2 linked regions of the Saccharomyces cerevisiae S288C genome follow. The protein of the gene in region 1 interacts with the protein of each later gene in a biochemical or structural test. Each region holds a gene or a part of one and is shown on either strand. Other genes may lie near its edges.

Region 1 (9,590 bases):
GATCATATCACCATCATTCATAGTACTTAAAGCCCATAATCTATTATTATGACCATCCAAAGTCTTCAGACATTCACCGCTAGAACAATCCCATATTTTGATCAAGCCATCAGCACCACAACTGATCAGTTGTTTTTGCTTATTAATAAACGAACATCTTTGAACCGCATTGGTATGACCTTCCAATGTTTTCATAACGCTGAATGTATCCAATGACCATATCTTGACTGTTTTATCACCTGAAGAAGTTGCCAATAATTTATCATATTGGCAAAATGATACATCCCATAGTCCACGCTTGTGGTTGGCCAACGTGGCTTCCAATTCACCATTTTCTAGGTTCCAGATCTTACAGGTCTTGTCGTATGATGCTGTTGCAAAAATAGAATCGTTAGGAGAAACTGACAAAGCATTGATATCCTTTTCATGGGCATGACGAGTATATTCGGATACCTTGATGATTTGAACATCCATACTAGCAGTTGGCTTTGGAATTATCCATTTCTTAATTGTTAAATCATTCGATGCTGTCAATAAAAATTCAGGATATCCCTTTGAAACTATATTTGGCAATCCAACAGCAGTTACGGCAGCTGAATGACCAATATACTTGGCATAAATATCAAACTTGCAGCTGTTCTCATTGTATCTCCAAACAATAGCCGTATTATCTTTAGAGGCGGTTGCGATCCACAGGCCATCCTCAGTAGCATCCAATGAATTTAGCAAATCTTCATGACCTTCATAAATTTCGACATCCAAAGGCAGCGAAGCTTCTGGGCCTGATAAATCGGGGACGGGTATTATCCTAAGCGATGGAGAATTGGTAGCTAAAGCTAATTTATTCAGCTCTGGGCCAACATACCTCATGTCAGCAATAATACCATGATTACCAGCAATGCTCGAAGTGACCTGTATTGTGTCTTCATCATTCTTTAAGTCTTCTTCAACGTTAATTAGTTGTAATGTCTGGTCAGACAATACTAAAAACATCTGTGAATTGCTCAATATTGGAAGTACACCAATAATGAATAACTCTTCTATAGGTTTATTGGTTCTTTTAAGCACGCTACCAGATTCAGAGTCAATTAACTGAAAGATAGCATCACCGCCGGCTGTATAAATTATGCGTTTACCGTCACCATCCTTTAGGAATCCGCATGACTCTACCTGTTGATTTACTGGAAGTGTTTTCAACAATTTACATTTCTTTTTCATATTGAAATCCCAGAGATTGATGATATCGTCTCTACCACCGGAAAGTAAATTTAGGCTTGGCTCATCATTATCTGGTACCTCAATGATATCCAACCCTCTCACAGCAGATGTGTGCTCTTGTAATGTGTGCAAGCACTTCCTTTTAACAAGATCCCAAACCTTTACCATACCATTGGTGTCACCGGATGCTAATAACCATATTTTACTATTCAATTGTCCATAAAACTTCAAACTGGAAATTGTACCACCATGACCTTTGAACGAATGAGTAATGTAACCATTTTCAATATCCACAACAATTATACTACCATCTGTCCCTCCGACTGCGAGAAGCGTTGAAGTGGAATCTGCGTCGAGAATGTACGATGGAGAAGAGATTTTCATTGATCTGACAACTTTCCCGGTCTTAAGGTGAAAGATTTTTAAAAGCTGAGCTTGTGAAACATACGTGAGATATTGACCATCAGGAGTTAATTTCAGTGCAGTAATTTCTTGCTCGTCTTCATTAGAAATCTTGTGCAAAATTTTTCTGGAGCCTGGGGTTAAATCGATTATGTTGATTTCGTCAAGCACCGGAGTAGCTAGTATTTTACCATTTTCTGAAACAGTGGCAACAGCACTGCTTCCTGCATAAATAGGGTTTAACGATATACCTTTATATGAGGTTTTCAGATCCATATTGTACGTAGTATGGCTTACTACCGTTGAGAGTACTATGTTGTTGGTTCACACCTTTAATGCCATACCGCTATTATATCTGAGAGCGATGAGCTGAATTTTTCAGAAAATTTTCAGTCGCTTTACACGGATATATTAAGAAGCTCCATCTTAATCGCCAGAAGAGTGGATGAGGTTATCATCTCAACTAGAGTCGAAGAGTAAGGCAATCCATCAAATGGGGTTGCTTGAGGCTTATTTACTTTTATACGTCTGATTGGACGGATTATACCAGTAAAAAAAATATTGATTGTGTTTTTCTATAAAAATATGCATATATAAGTAAAAAAATAACATGTAATTCTTTTCAACCAACGATAAAGCAAAATTCAGAGTAGAATAAGGCAAAGTCACATACTGATGATGATATTGTAAACGAAAGGTGATTTGATTGTAGTAACCATAAAAAAATGCAAAATAGCTCATTGTAAGACGTCATTGAATTCGAATGAATGGTTAACATCATTGCCCATAATTCCTTCGATATCTGCCAATGCACTCTCACTAAATAAACCATTTTTAGTGAAACGAAGATTTTCAGCCGCTGCTTCCACCATACTTTGCCTTCTTCTCCACATGGAATTACTATTTTCATGGCTTAATGTATTGTCGAATTGCACAGGAGCGGTTAACGATGCTAGGATATCGGCGTCAGTATCTTCGATCACATGACCTTCTTGTGCATCATAACCGTTAATATCACCTACAGACAGTAAGTCATTTTCATCTTTGCCCAAAATCTCATGAATTTCATCTAAACCAACACTTTTTGTTGAATTTTTCCTTGTATTGCTGTCCACGGCAAGATCAGAATTATGAGGTATTAATGACGCATCTTCAGGTGCGTGAGAGGGAAGTTCATTCATAGGGGTATTTTCATTGGTTGTAAAATCGGTACCGGTATTTATGTCGCTATGGCTGTTATTGTTACCGATGATCTCATGGCCATTGATTCCCAATTGTAAATTCATAGTTTCTTGCTCCTTTATTGCCTTTTGTCTTTGCTTTCTTATTTTAAGAAGCTTCTTTTTTTTCTTTAACTGCCTTTTTTTTTCAGTTTTTTTCCGTTGTAGCTCTTTCATCTTATCAATCTTCTTTCTTGTTCTTTCATTACCAATATAGCCAATGGGAACTTTTCTGTTAGAATTTGCTGGTATCATGTACTCATCTTCTTCATAGGCATTAATACCCTTATTTCTAAATGCAGATAATGGAACCTTAGGAACTTCATACCAATCTGCAGCATGGCCATTTGTGCTTTTGCTATTAATTGCATCATTGTAATTGTTCTCCATATCGTCTGTGTGGGATGGTGAATCATCCTCCAATTCACTCATGTTTAGCAGCTCATTGAGTGTCAATTCGTCACCGTTATTGCCATTAGAGCTTCCCTCTCTTTTAACATCTGGGGTTTGAGCCCTTTGATGTTGCTCGCGAAGCTGTTGATGTTCTTGGATTAAGGCGTATAATGATTTAGTAGACAGACCATCAATAATACTAAAAGGTTTGTTGTCCGTCTCCCAAGTACCCAATTTTGGTGGACGTAATCCAACAACATTTGAACTTACGATTTCCTTTGCTTTTGAGCCAATGTTTTTTGACCTTGAACTTGGGGGCGGTAGGTTATCATCTTCATCTGTGGATTCGTCATCAACGTACACAACAGTCTCTAAGAGATCATGTTTGCAATCTTTGGATCCATCAGAATTTTCTTTGTCTGAGTTAGAACTTATCAAAGAGGAAGATCCATCGCTGTCGTAATGAAAGTAAAAAGAGTCTGGATCTAAATCATCGATGTCTATGAACACATTTGTCACGCTGGAATCATCGTCGTCGTCTTCGTAATCGTCGTCCAGTTCTGTGCCAATGTCTAAGCTATCTGAATCTAGTGCCCTCAATTCTTCATCCGTGTCAGCATCGTGGGACGTTTCAGATTCACTGCATTCATCATCTGAAGGCATATGGGCAACATCCAACAAAATGTTATCATATTCATCGTCAGAAGAATCATATTTCCCGGAATTCAGGACCGTACTATGAGTGGATGGTTCCAGATCATCATTGGATTTTATCAAATTCGAGCCTTTATTCTTATGTTCAATATGACTTTTGCCCGATTTATGCCTGCCTTTCTTGCTCTTATGGCCACTATTTTCATCATCTGATTGAAAAAAAACATTGAAAATATACTCATCATTGTCCACATTGGAGGTTGTTCTCGTACTAGGTTTTTGCGTCTTTTTATAGAGCTTTCGTCTTTGTTTCCTTTCTTCCTGTTCCCGTTTTTTGGCCTCTTTCTTTTTTAGTTTAGATAGTTTTTCATCATTTAGCATTAACGGTAAAGATGTACTCAAGGATAGCTTTGGCTCTGAACCATCGCCATAATAATAAAGATTTGCAAATTTAGGATCTTCATAAAACGGCATATCAAAATCAGACATTATTTCATCTTCTTCGTCATCTTCTTCATCATATCCGTTTTCTTGATTGTATTCATTTTGCAAAAATTTATTTTCAGCATCTTCTACAGGATCAGACCCTTCTTCGTGTATACTACCATCGAATGAGAGTTCGTCGTCATTTTGTAGCTCAGAAACAATGTTTTGTTCTTCTTCTTCCAATATGGGAAGATCGTCTTCCCCCGTTTCAAGATCTGTACCAATTTCTCCATGAGAATCTTCATTGTTAATCACGTCAAAGTACGCATCCTGGTCAATATCATATTCAGATTCATCTGACTCTGAAATATTGGGAAATCGTAACTCATCGTTGTTACCTAACATCACCTTAGAATCCAGTTTATCTTCTTCATTACCATTGTTCTCTTTGTTTTTTAAATCCAAGACTTCTTCACCTATATCCTCGTTATAGCCTTCATTACCATTACCAAAACTAATGCCGTCGTCCTCTTTTTTGAATTTAAACGATAGCGCCTGTTGTGTAGTAGTAGTGCCTGAACCGTTTACTTCTTTTTTGTTTGATTCTTGTTGTTTTTGTTGCTCTTCTTTCTCTTTTTCTTTTTCTTCTTTCTGCTCTTCTTCATTTTCTTTCTTAGGGGATAGTTTAACTGATTTATTTTTGTTACTGTTCTCACGAGAGGAATAGAGTGTATTGCTATTTGTATTCATGGCAGATAAAGCTTTCATGGCTCTTTTCTTTCTTTGGGCCGTCAGTTTGACAAAATCTATATTCTCGTCATCAGAACTTGTTTCGCTATCACTATCACTATCACTTCCGTCATCATCATCGTCGTCGTCGTCTTCGTCATCATCTTCTTCTTCTTCTTCACTCTCTTCTTCTTCATTTTCACTCTCTTCGCCATCTGTTACAGCTTGGTAATCGGATGACTCTGTGCCCTCGTCGTCATTGTCTATTTGCCTTTGTATAAGTTTACTTTTTTTTCCTTGGGAATTATTTGAAATGTTCTTTGCTTTTCTTTTAATTTTATGTGGGTTTGTACTTTTGTTTTTATCAGAATCAGATACGTCACTCAAGGATGACTCAGAAGAGTATATAAGGCTAAATCTTCTTGGCCTCGTTGTACTCAGTGTGGGTGGTGATTGCCTGGACTTTGTATCGGATTCGCCCTTTTTTATGAGCCTTTTAATATTTGCTGGCAGTTTACCAGAATGTGTACTATGATTGATCGTACTTTTTCGAGGACTTTTTTTGCCTGCCATTTCGTTCTGTTTCCAGTTTGCCGGTTGTTTTTTCCTTATTTGTTTATTTGCTTCCTTGTTGAATTTCCTTCAATTTCAACAAGCTTGAAAATGAATTTCGTAGAATGAATATTACTATGTTTGAAATGGTTATTGCTTATGATGCTCACCGAAGTTAAAAAAAATATTATAGGTTTGTCCTATGTTAGAATTGTGGAAAGGGAGGAATGTAATAAATAAGCAGTAATTAAATATAGCCTTTTGAAGAGTTCCTCCTTTTAATTTCTTGTAGCAAGTGTTTCGAATGTATTCAAATATTACCAATGATTATACAAATACTTACAGCAAGTCAATTAAAGAGCCGTAAAAGCTAAACGTCAAAACGTGTAAAGCACCTATTATCTAGTCTCTTTTCCCTAGTTGTACTTTAAATCAATTTAGTGATGAGATGAAAAAAAAAAAAAAAAAAAAAAGAATTCCAACGAAAAAGAAACGACGGGCAGGGCAACCTTTAGAGATTTCAATCCGTATAAAGAGATGTAGTAGGCAGTACGGGTAACATCGTCACAATTCATAATGGAACTATCTAGCTTTTGCTTGATTGCAAAGTTCTACACCCGTTGATACTTCAAACATCTTTGCAATACGTAGGTAGGGGTCGCGTACTAGCAGCCTCCTAGTTAAGTGTATCTTTCAATCGCATTACGGAACAACTAGGCATCCCGAACCCCACACGGAAAAATCGGAACAATAACTGAAAATTTCCTTTTTCTTTTTTTTGCTCTTCAAAGTCTCTGCCCCTCTATTGCGTACTCGATTGATTTTTTTATCAAAGGCCATCTCAGACAAGTAGATCTACATTGGAGTTTCTCATAATATTATCACTATCGGAAGGTAGCATAACCTTTAATAGAGTTTCCGCTGTTTGCTTGGCTCGTTTTTTTGTTTGTACTATGCCTATTGGCGCAAAGAAGACAGAGTGTGCAAACAAGAGATGAATCAGAGCGATAGCAGCTTGATGGATTTACCACTGGAGATACATTTATCATTACTAGAGTACGTGCCTAATGAACTTCGTGCTGTCAATAAATACTTCTACGTTTTGCATAACCACAGCTATAAGGAGAAGAGTTTGGCGTGGATAGCTGAGGACAACTATATATGGGCCGTTGTCAAACATTCATTATGTTTATATGTCAAGAGTTTGGACCCACTTCGACAGCATGCCAGAGAAATCATTCAAGAAACGAAGGAACCAGGTTTTAATGTGCCACTGTGCATGACTAAATACATCGCAGATTCTTGGTATATTGTATACAATGCGCTGCAATATCCTGGAAAGATAATTAATATGGGATGGGACAAATATACCAAAAGTCAAGATTCAAATGGTTCTGATTCTACCAGTAACTTTAATAGTCGGCCCAAGGAAAGAACTCTTATGCAGTCGTTGACAGCTTTACCTGTTAACTTTTGGTCCAGGAGGAAGGACGAGCCTACACCGGTAAACGTTTGGTTTTATGTAAAAAATGCGCACGTTGCCAGATACATACCGAAAATTATTACGGAAATAGGCATATGCAACTATGGGCCGAAGCAGATCGTGGCAAGTGCAGGATATATCAACGAATTGATAACATCTGAAGGAATATACTGTGTTAACCTAGGCCACCTTCCCAGGCTATACGATGAGCAAATTTTTGAAGGCACTGGAACGACACATCTTCCCCTGGAACTGAAAGCTATCGACAGGACAGATTCAGATGTTTGTATCAATGGTGATTTAGTTCTACTCGGTTATGACTTTATTCCATATCAGATATCGAAGCCGTGGTTACTCTTTAGAATCGAACCCGTAAATAGCATTGAAGCAATCTTCAACTATAGTGAATGTTCTTTTTCATACCAGTTTGCATGGAGTTTGGCCTGCTTACAATCTGAAGAGAAAATTTCATTTCCTAGAGACACGATAATTGGGCACGGTTTACCTTACAAGCCATCCAAATTGATAAGAATTTTCGTCTACAAGCATCCGGAACAAAAGCAAGATCTTGGTCAAGAAATAGCATTGCCCAACTGGAATACCCCTTATCTTCGAAGATGAAAAAAAAATTTATCAATTAGTCTATAATATATGTGTATATACGTCTATGCACCTACCTACTTATAAATGGATATAATATTCTTGCAATGATGAAAATATGTATAGTCAAATTTCATTTTTTTCAATTGATAAATGTACTTTCAATGATGGAAACTCCTTCATCGTCATCGAATTTAGACTTCTGGCAGAATTGGTAAATGAATGGCTTCATGTTTGCCAGATTTTCAGCAATAGACCTAATGAAAGCGGGCAGCTCACTCATTATATCGTACCTATTGACTAATCTTAAATTAGATTCTTCAAAACCACGCGGAAATGAAATGGATGTAGGATATTTCCAACCATTTTGCTTATCCTCTTTTGTAGATGGAAATTTAACAGCATGATCATTTACACTTGACCCGACCTCCAAAATTTTGTCCTTATCACTAACCGCCCATATAGTCACTGTAGTGCTGCCATATTCTTTTGTTGTGGTGAATTCAATACACATCATCGAACGCTTCTCACCATTGAAACAAAGAAAATTCCATTTACTAGCCGCCTTATTGGGTATTAGCCCCTGGACAGCATCCAGATACAACATAGGCGTGTCCTTCAAGTCCAGCTTCACAGGTTTATCGTTTTTCTTGTATGAGATGGTACCATTGCAAAAACCTCTAGGAACAAAAACATGTCTTATCATTTTTCTGGACGTACTAGAAGAGTCTCTTTTTGCTAACTCTTCCAAGCTGATGCTCTTGTCAAGGTAATAATTGGAACCGTCCGGGTTTATTATGAATCCTTCTTGTAAATTTACGGTAATGTCAACCTTCAAATCTTTTAGTAAACAGCTTGTACTTCCCTTCGGAATATCTATCTTAATTAATAATTGAGCAAATCCACTGGAGGAAGAATTTTCCAAAGGTACGAAGTGAAACGTAACATTGTCCGATTCAACTTTTAACGTATCAAAATCTTTGATATTATCAATTTTAAAGCTTTCCCATATATCAATGTCTTCTTCAGAGTTTTCCTCACTGCTGGCTTTAAATATTTTGAAATTTAACTGAAAACCTTTGTATATACCGCCCATAACACTGGAATATAATAGTTGAATTAATCCACATTTGCCGTTGGTGAGATCCGTAAAATACAGAGTTTGTGTCTCTATTCTTGTTTCCGTTGGATTTCTTACTGCTTTTAATAAACTATGTGACTTGAACTTTTTGTGATTTGACGTCCTGCAAAACCATTCTAGTTTCGATGTATCCTGAAATTTAGTATAATTAGCATGATCCTTCTCGGATAAAACTTCCTTAACGGGGGCAAATTTCGTCTTCTCCTTTTTGATCGCAACCGCCATTTTTTCTTTGCTCTATGATTTTTATGTTAATTAAACTGTTCGTTGCCCTAAAATTTTGAAAATTTCTCGAATATTTAGAGAGAATCCGTCACTATTTTAGTATCTATCTTGTCTATTTATATATAAAATCTCATTCCCCTGTTATGGTTTTTGCCAAGCCCTATCCCAAAAAACCAAATGATACATGATAAACCTATTTATCCTCTTTAACAGACCTATCGTTTAAAGCTTTTTTATTGCAAACCCTATTCATTATGGCTTTTTGACCTAGGTCTCATTGTGACTTCTATTTTTCACTGTTCAGTAAAAAAAGAAAAGTGATTAAAAAGTATCACTATTTCTGTTAGAAAGCAAGTAGCTATTTTGATTGGTAATTATATACACATATTGAAGGAGGCCGTAGTATTTTCGTTTAAAATATATTACAGTAAGATAATGTCTGCTACATCTTCAAGTGGTGACGTGAAAAAATTTCAAGCTGTACCAAAACCAACGAGCAATGCATCACCACCACCAGCATCGAGTGGGTTTAACGCAAGGACCCTAT
Region 2 (4,549 bases), on another chromosome or scaffold:
GGCATACGGGCGGCTGAGCCAGGGAGATCTCTATATTTACCGTTTACCTTACTATTGAAACAGCCCGGTGCTTACAAGGTGAGCCTACACAGATATGTACATAGCACCCAAACGAAGAGCCACTTGAGCTTTTTAATGAATAATAACGATATAACACCTTTTCAAAAATTTACAGTTAAAGTTCTCAAAGAGCAGTGCAAATCAAGAGGGTTAAAATTATCAGGTCGCAAATCAGATTTGCTACAAAGACTTATCACGCACGATTCATGTTCAAATAAAAAAAGTAGTGTGAAGATAAATGAACCCAAAAAAAAGAGGATATTAATAAATGATCCAATCAAAATCACGAAGAAATTGGTTAGTGATAAAACTTTTAGAACTATTGAAAAAAATATTTCTTCACTGCAGAACACACCTGTTATCGAAACTCCCTGCGACGTTCATTCACACTTGCAACCAAGGGATAGAATATTCTTATTAGGATTTTTCATGTTATCGTGTCTTTGGTGGAACCTCGAACCTCAGGAATCTAAACCTACCATTGACCATTAGAAATATAATTCTAGCACTGTAATTAATTGAACTGTATATTCTTTCATAATTTATTAAGACACTTTTACTTTTCTCTACGCTCTCAATAAGTTATTGTTGATCCAGATCATCTCGATATTGCCGTCATTTTCGGTTAAGGTAGGCGCTTTTACGAAACACATGCCAGAAAAAAAAGTGAGGAAGGAAGGTACAATGAAAACAGGGTGAACGCCACTTCTTTTCACCCAAGTTGTAAGAGAAATAATAGTAAAAGCAATCGAATTTGGATTCTATAAAACACCACTGAGGCGAAAAAAAAAGTAATGGACAATTACGAAGGCAGTGATCCTTGGAATACCAGTTCTAATGCATGGACTAAGGATGATGATCACGTCGTTTCTACCACCAATAGTGAACCCAGCCTCAACGGAATCTCTGGTGAGTTTAACACCTTGAACTTTTCAACACCTCTGGACACAAATGAGGAGGATACTGGTTTTTTACCGACCAACGATGTGCTTGAAGAAAGTATCTGGGATGATAGTAGAAATCCTCTTGGTGCAACTGGCATGAGCCAAACTCCCAATATAGCGGCCAATGAGACAGTTATAGATAAGAATGATGCTAGAGATCAGAATATAGAAGAATCTGAAGCCGACTTACTTGATTGGACTAACAACGTTAGAAAAACATACAGACCTCTAGATGCCGACATCATCATCATTGAAGAGATACCTGAAAGAGAGGGTTTACTTTTCAAGCACGCAAACTATTTAGTGAAACATCTCATTGCTCTTCCAAGTACCTCGCCTTCTGAAGAACGTACTGTCGTAAGAAGATACTCTGATTTCTTATGGTTAAGAGAAATTCTGCTGAAAAGATACCCTTTTAGAATGATCCCTGAGCTACCTCCCAAAAGAATTGGATCCCAAAACGCAGACCAGCTTTTTTTGAAGAAAAGAAGAATAGGGTTATCTAGATTCATTAATTTGGTAATGAAACACCCTAAATTAAGTAATGATGATTTAGTGTTAACATTTTTAACCGTACGCACTGACTTAACAAGTTGGAGAAAGCAAGCAACCTATGACACTTCAAACGAATTCGCTGATAAAAAGATATCACAAGAATTTATGAAAATGTGGAAAAAAGAGTTTGCAGAACAATGGAACCAGGCTGCATCTTGTATCGATACCTCGATGGAATTATGGTATAGAATCACGCTTCTCTTGGAAAGGCATGAAAAAAGAATTATGCAAATGGTACACGAAAGAAATTTTTTTGAGACACTAGTGGATAACTTTAGCGAAGTGACTCCAAAACTATATCCGGTACAACAAAATGATACCATATTGGACATTAATAACAATTTGAGTATAATTAAAAAACACCTAGAAACTACGAGTAGTATCTGCAAACAAGAAACAGAAGAAATATCGGGAACGTTATCGCCAAAATTCAAAATTTTCACGGACATCTTACTTTCTTTGAGAAGTTTATTTGAGAGATACAAAATTATGGCTGCAAATAACGTAGTTGAATTGCAAAGACATGTCGAATTGAACAAAGAGAAATTGGAATCGATGAAAGGAAAACCAGATGTCAGTGGAGCAGAGTACGACAGGATAAAAAAAATCATACAGAAGGATAGAAGAAGCATAATAGAGCAATCAAACAGAGCTTGGTTGATAAGACAATGTATTTTGGAAGAGTTTACAATCTTTCAGGAAACCCAATTTTTAATAACACGTGCCTTCCAGGATTGGGCAAAATTGAACTCCAACCATGCCGGTCTCAAACTGAATGAGTGGGAAAAGCTCGTCACAAGCATCATGGATATGCCGATTTCTCGTGAATAAATTTTACGGAGTGAAGACTAACCACTTAGTCTGCCAAAACATTATTGAAGGATATCCAACAGATGTAATTGACGTACTAAACAGAGAAATAATTAGGTAAATAGAGTAAAGATATGTACCACTATAAATTGTTATTTATTTGTTTTTCAATTTTAAATACAGTGTATGAAGCCTAATTCGGATATTATAGGTTCCCATATTTATTAGAAGGTAACAAATCTTTCGATAATTTGGATTAGATAGCCTTATAATATGCCGGACAAACGACGCCCGCTAAAAATGTGTATTCTCCAGTATTCAATATTCGTCATAAATGATCTTAATTTGAAAAAGTGAATGAACTGAACATCGATAAGTCGAATGTGGTCCGTGTAATAGCTCAAATGGGAAAGTTTTTCTAATCAGCATTCTGTATAACCTCACCTGCACGTAATCTAAAGTGCTTTTATCGATTGGTAGTGCACATATTGTCTTTCGGCATCATATCACATAATGGCAAATTCGCCGAAAAAGCCATCTGATGGCACTGGAGTATCAGCGTCAGACACGCCTAAATATCAACATACCGTCCCAGAAACGAAACCAGCATTTAATTTGTCACCAGGTAAAGCTAGTGAGCTATCACATAGCCTTCCGTCGCCTAGCCAGATAAAATCAACCGCACATGTATCTTCAACTCACAATGATGCGGCAGGTAATACGGATGATTCTGTTCTTCCTAAAAATGTATCACCCACAACTAATTTGAGAGTTGAAAGTAATGGAGATACAAACAATATGTTCTCTAGCCCTGCTGGACTAGCTCTACCAAAAAAGGATGATAAAAAAAAAAACAAGGGTACGAGTAAAGCAGATTCTAAAGATGGCAAAGCATCCAACTCCTCAGGACAGAATGCACAACAACAATCAGACCCAAATAAAATGCAAGATGTCCTTTTTTCCGCAGGTATCGATGTTAGGGAGGAGGAGGCTCTTCTAAATTCATCTATTAATGCCTCAAAATCCCAAGTTCAAACAAATAACGTTAAGATCCCCAACCATTTACCATTCCTTCACCCGGAACAAGTTTCCAATTATATGAGGAAAGTCGGAAAAGAGCAAAACTTCAACCTGACCCCTACAAAGAATCCTGAAATTTTGGACATGATGTCAAGTGCCTGCGAAAACTATATGAGAGATATCCTAACAAATGCCATTGTCATCTCCCGACATAGAAGAAAAGCAGTCAAGATAAATTCTGGTAGAAGAAGTGAAGTTTCTGCGGCTTTAAGAGCCATTGCACTAATTCAAAAAAAAGAAGAAGAAAGGCGTGTGAAAAAAAGAATTGCGTTGGGACTCGAGAAGGAAGATTATGAAAATAAGATTGATTCCGAAGAGACGTTACACAGAGCATCGAACGTTACGGCTGGCCTTAGAGCAGGTAGTAAAAAACAGTATGGTTGGCTAACTTCATCAGTAAATAAGCCGACGTCCTTGGGAGCAAAATCTTCAGGCAAAGTCGCCTCCGACATCACGGCTAGAGGAGAAAGTGGGCTAAAGTTTAGAGAAGCTAGAGAGGAGCCTGGTATAGTAATGAGGGATTTACTCTTTGCTCTCGAAAATAGGCGCAACAGCGTTCAGACTATTATTTCAAAGGGTTATGCCAAGATCAGAGATTAATTGCTCATCTCTTATACTGTCTATAATATTTAAAGGTATAGTGTTTCAAATAAACTAGGATATAAAAAAAACAAGATTGACTAACATAAAGAAGGCCGGTTGGTGTCGCTTAGTCAAGTCATCGCCAAGCTATTGAGGACCATTCAACCTTTTTGCTTTGTTCATTTTAACTTTATAATAAGGAAGATATATCAATCCTTGAAGTTAGGCATCCTTCTACCAAAAATAGCGGAAAGAGGAGTGATAATCGGGAAAAAAATTTTCATATTAATACACATTTTTATACATTTACTTGTCATTATCCTTTTGGGTGAAAGGATGTATTATGTATTGTTTCTCAGAAGGGCTTCTAAATTAGTCCAAATAATGCTGTTATGGCACCTAACAAACTCATTAGAGTATTAGTGTTCGCATAGGAAATAGCCGCAGCATTCGCTTTGTTTGCCGTAGAGGAAGAAGAACGAGCTGTAGAGGAAGAAATTGAAGAGGATGAAGAATTT

What was found.
Region 2: the proteins of IFH1 (region 1) and TAF4 form a complex in vitro, tested with the Saccharomyces cerevisiae proteins (one study listed by BioGRID).

Annotation. Positions count from the first base shown.
Region 1 is NC_001144.5:579,876-589,465, forward strand, and holds IFH1 (Ifh1p), read right to left. Parts: upstream 5,616-9,590; coding exon 2,358-5,615; downstream 1-2,357. Other genes in the region: U3 snoRNA-associated protein UTP13, read right to left, coding at 1-1,896; UCC1 (Ucc1p), read left to right, coding at 6,589-7,698; YLR225C (uncharacterized protein), read right to left, coding at 7,820-9,043; BUR2 (Bur2p), read left to right, coding at 9,479-9,590. UniProt on the Saccharomyces cerevisiae protein: Transcriptional coactivator that together with FHL1 regulates the expression of rRNA and ribosomal protein genes. Its activity is negatively regulated by environmental stress.
Region 2 is NC_001145.3:273,163-277,711, forward strand, and holds TAF4 (Taf4p), read left to right. Parts: upstream 1-2,882; coding exon 2,883-4,049; downstream 4,050-4,549. Other genes in the region: AIM34 (Aim34p), read left to right, coding at 1-552; MVP1 (Mvp1p), read left to right, coding at 855-2,390; PLB2 (lysophospholipase), read right to left, coding at 4,399-4,549. UniProt on the Saccharomyces cerevisiae protein: Functions as a component of the DNA-binding general transcription factor complex TFIID. Binding of TFIID to a promoter (with or without TATA element) is the initial step in pre-initiation complex (PIC) formation.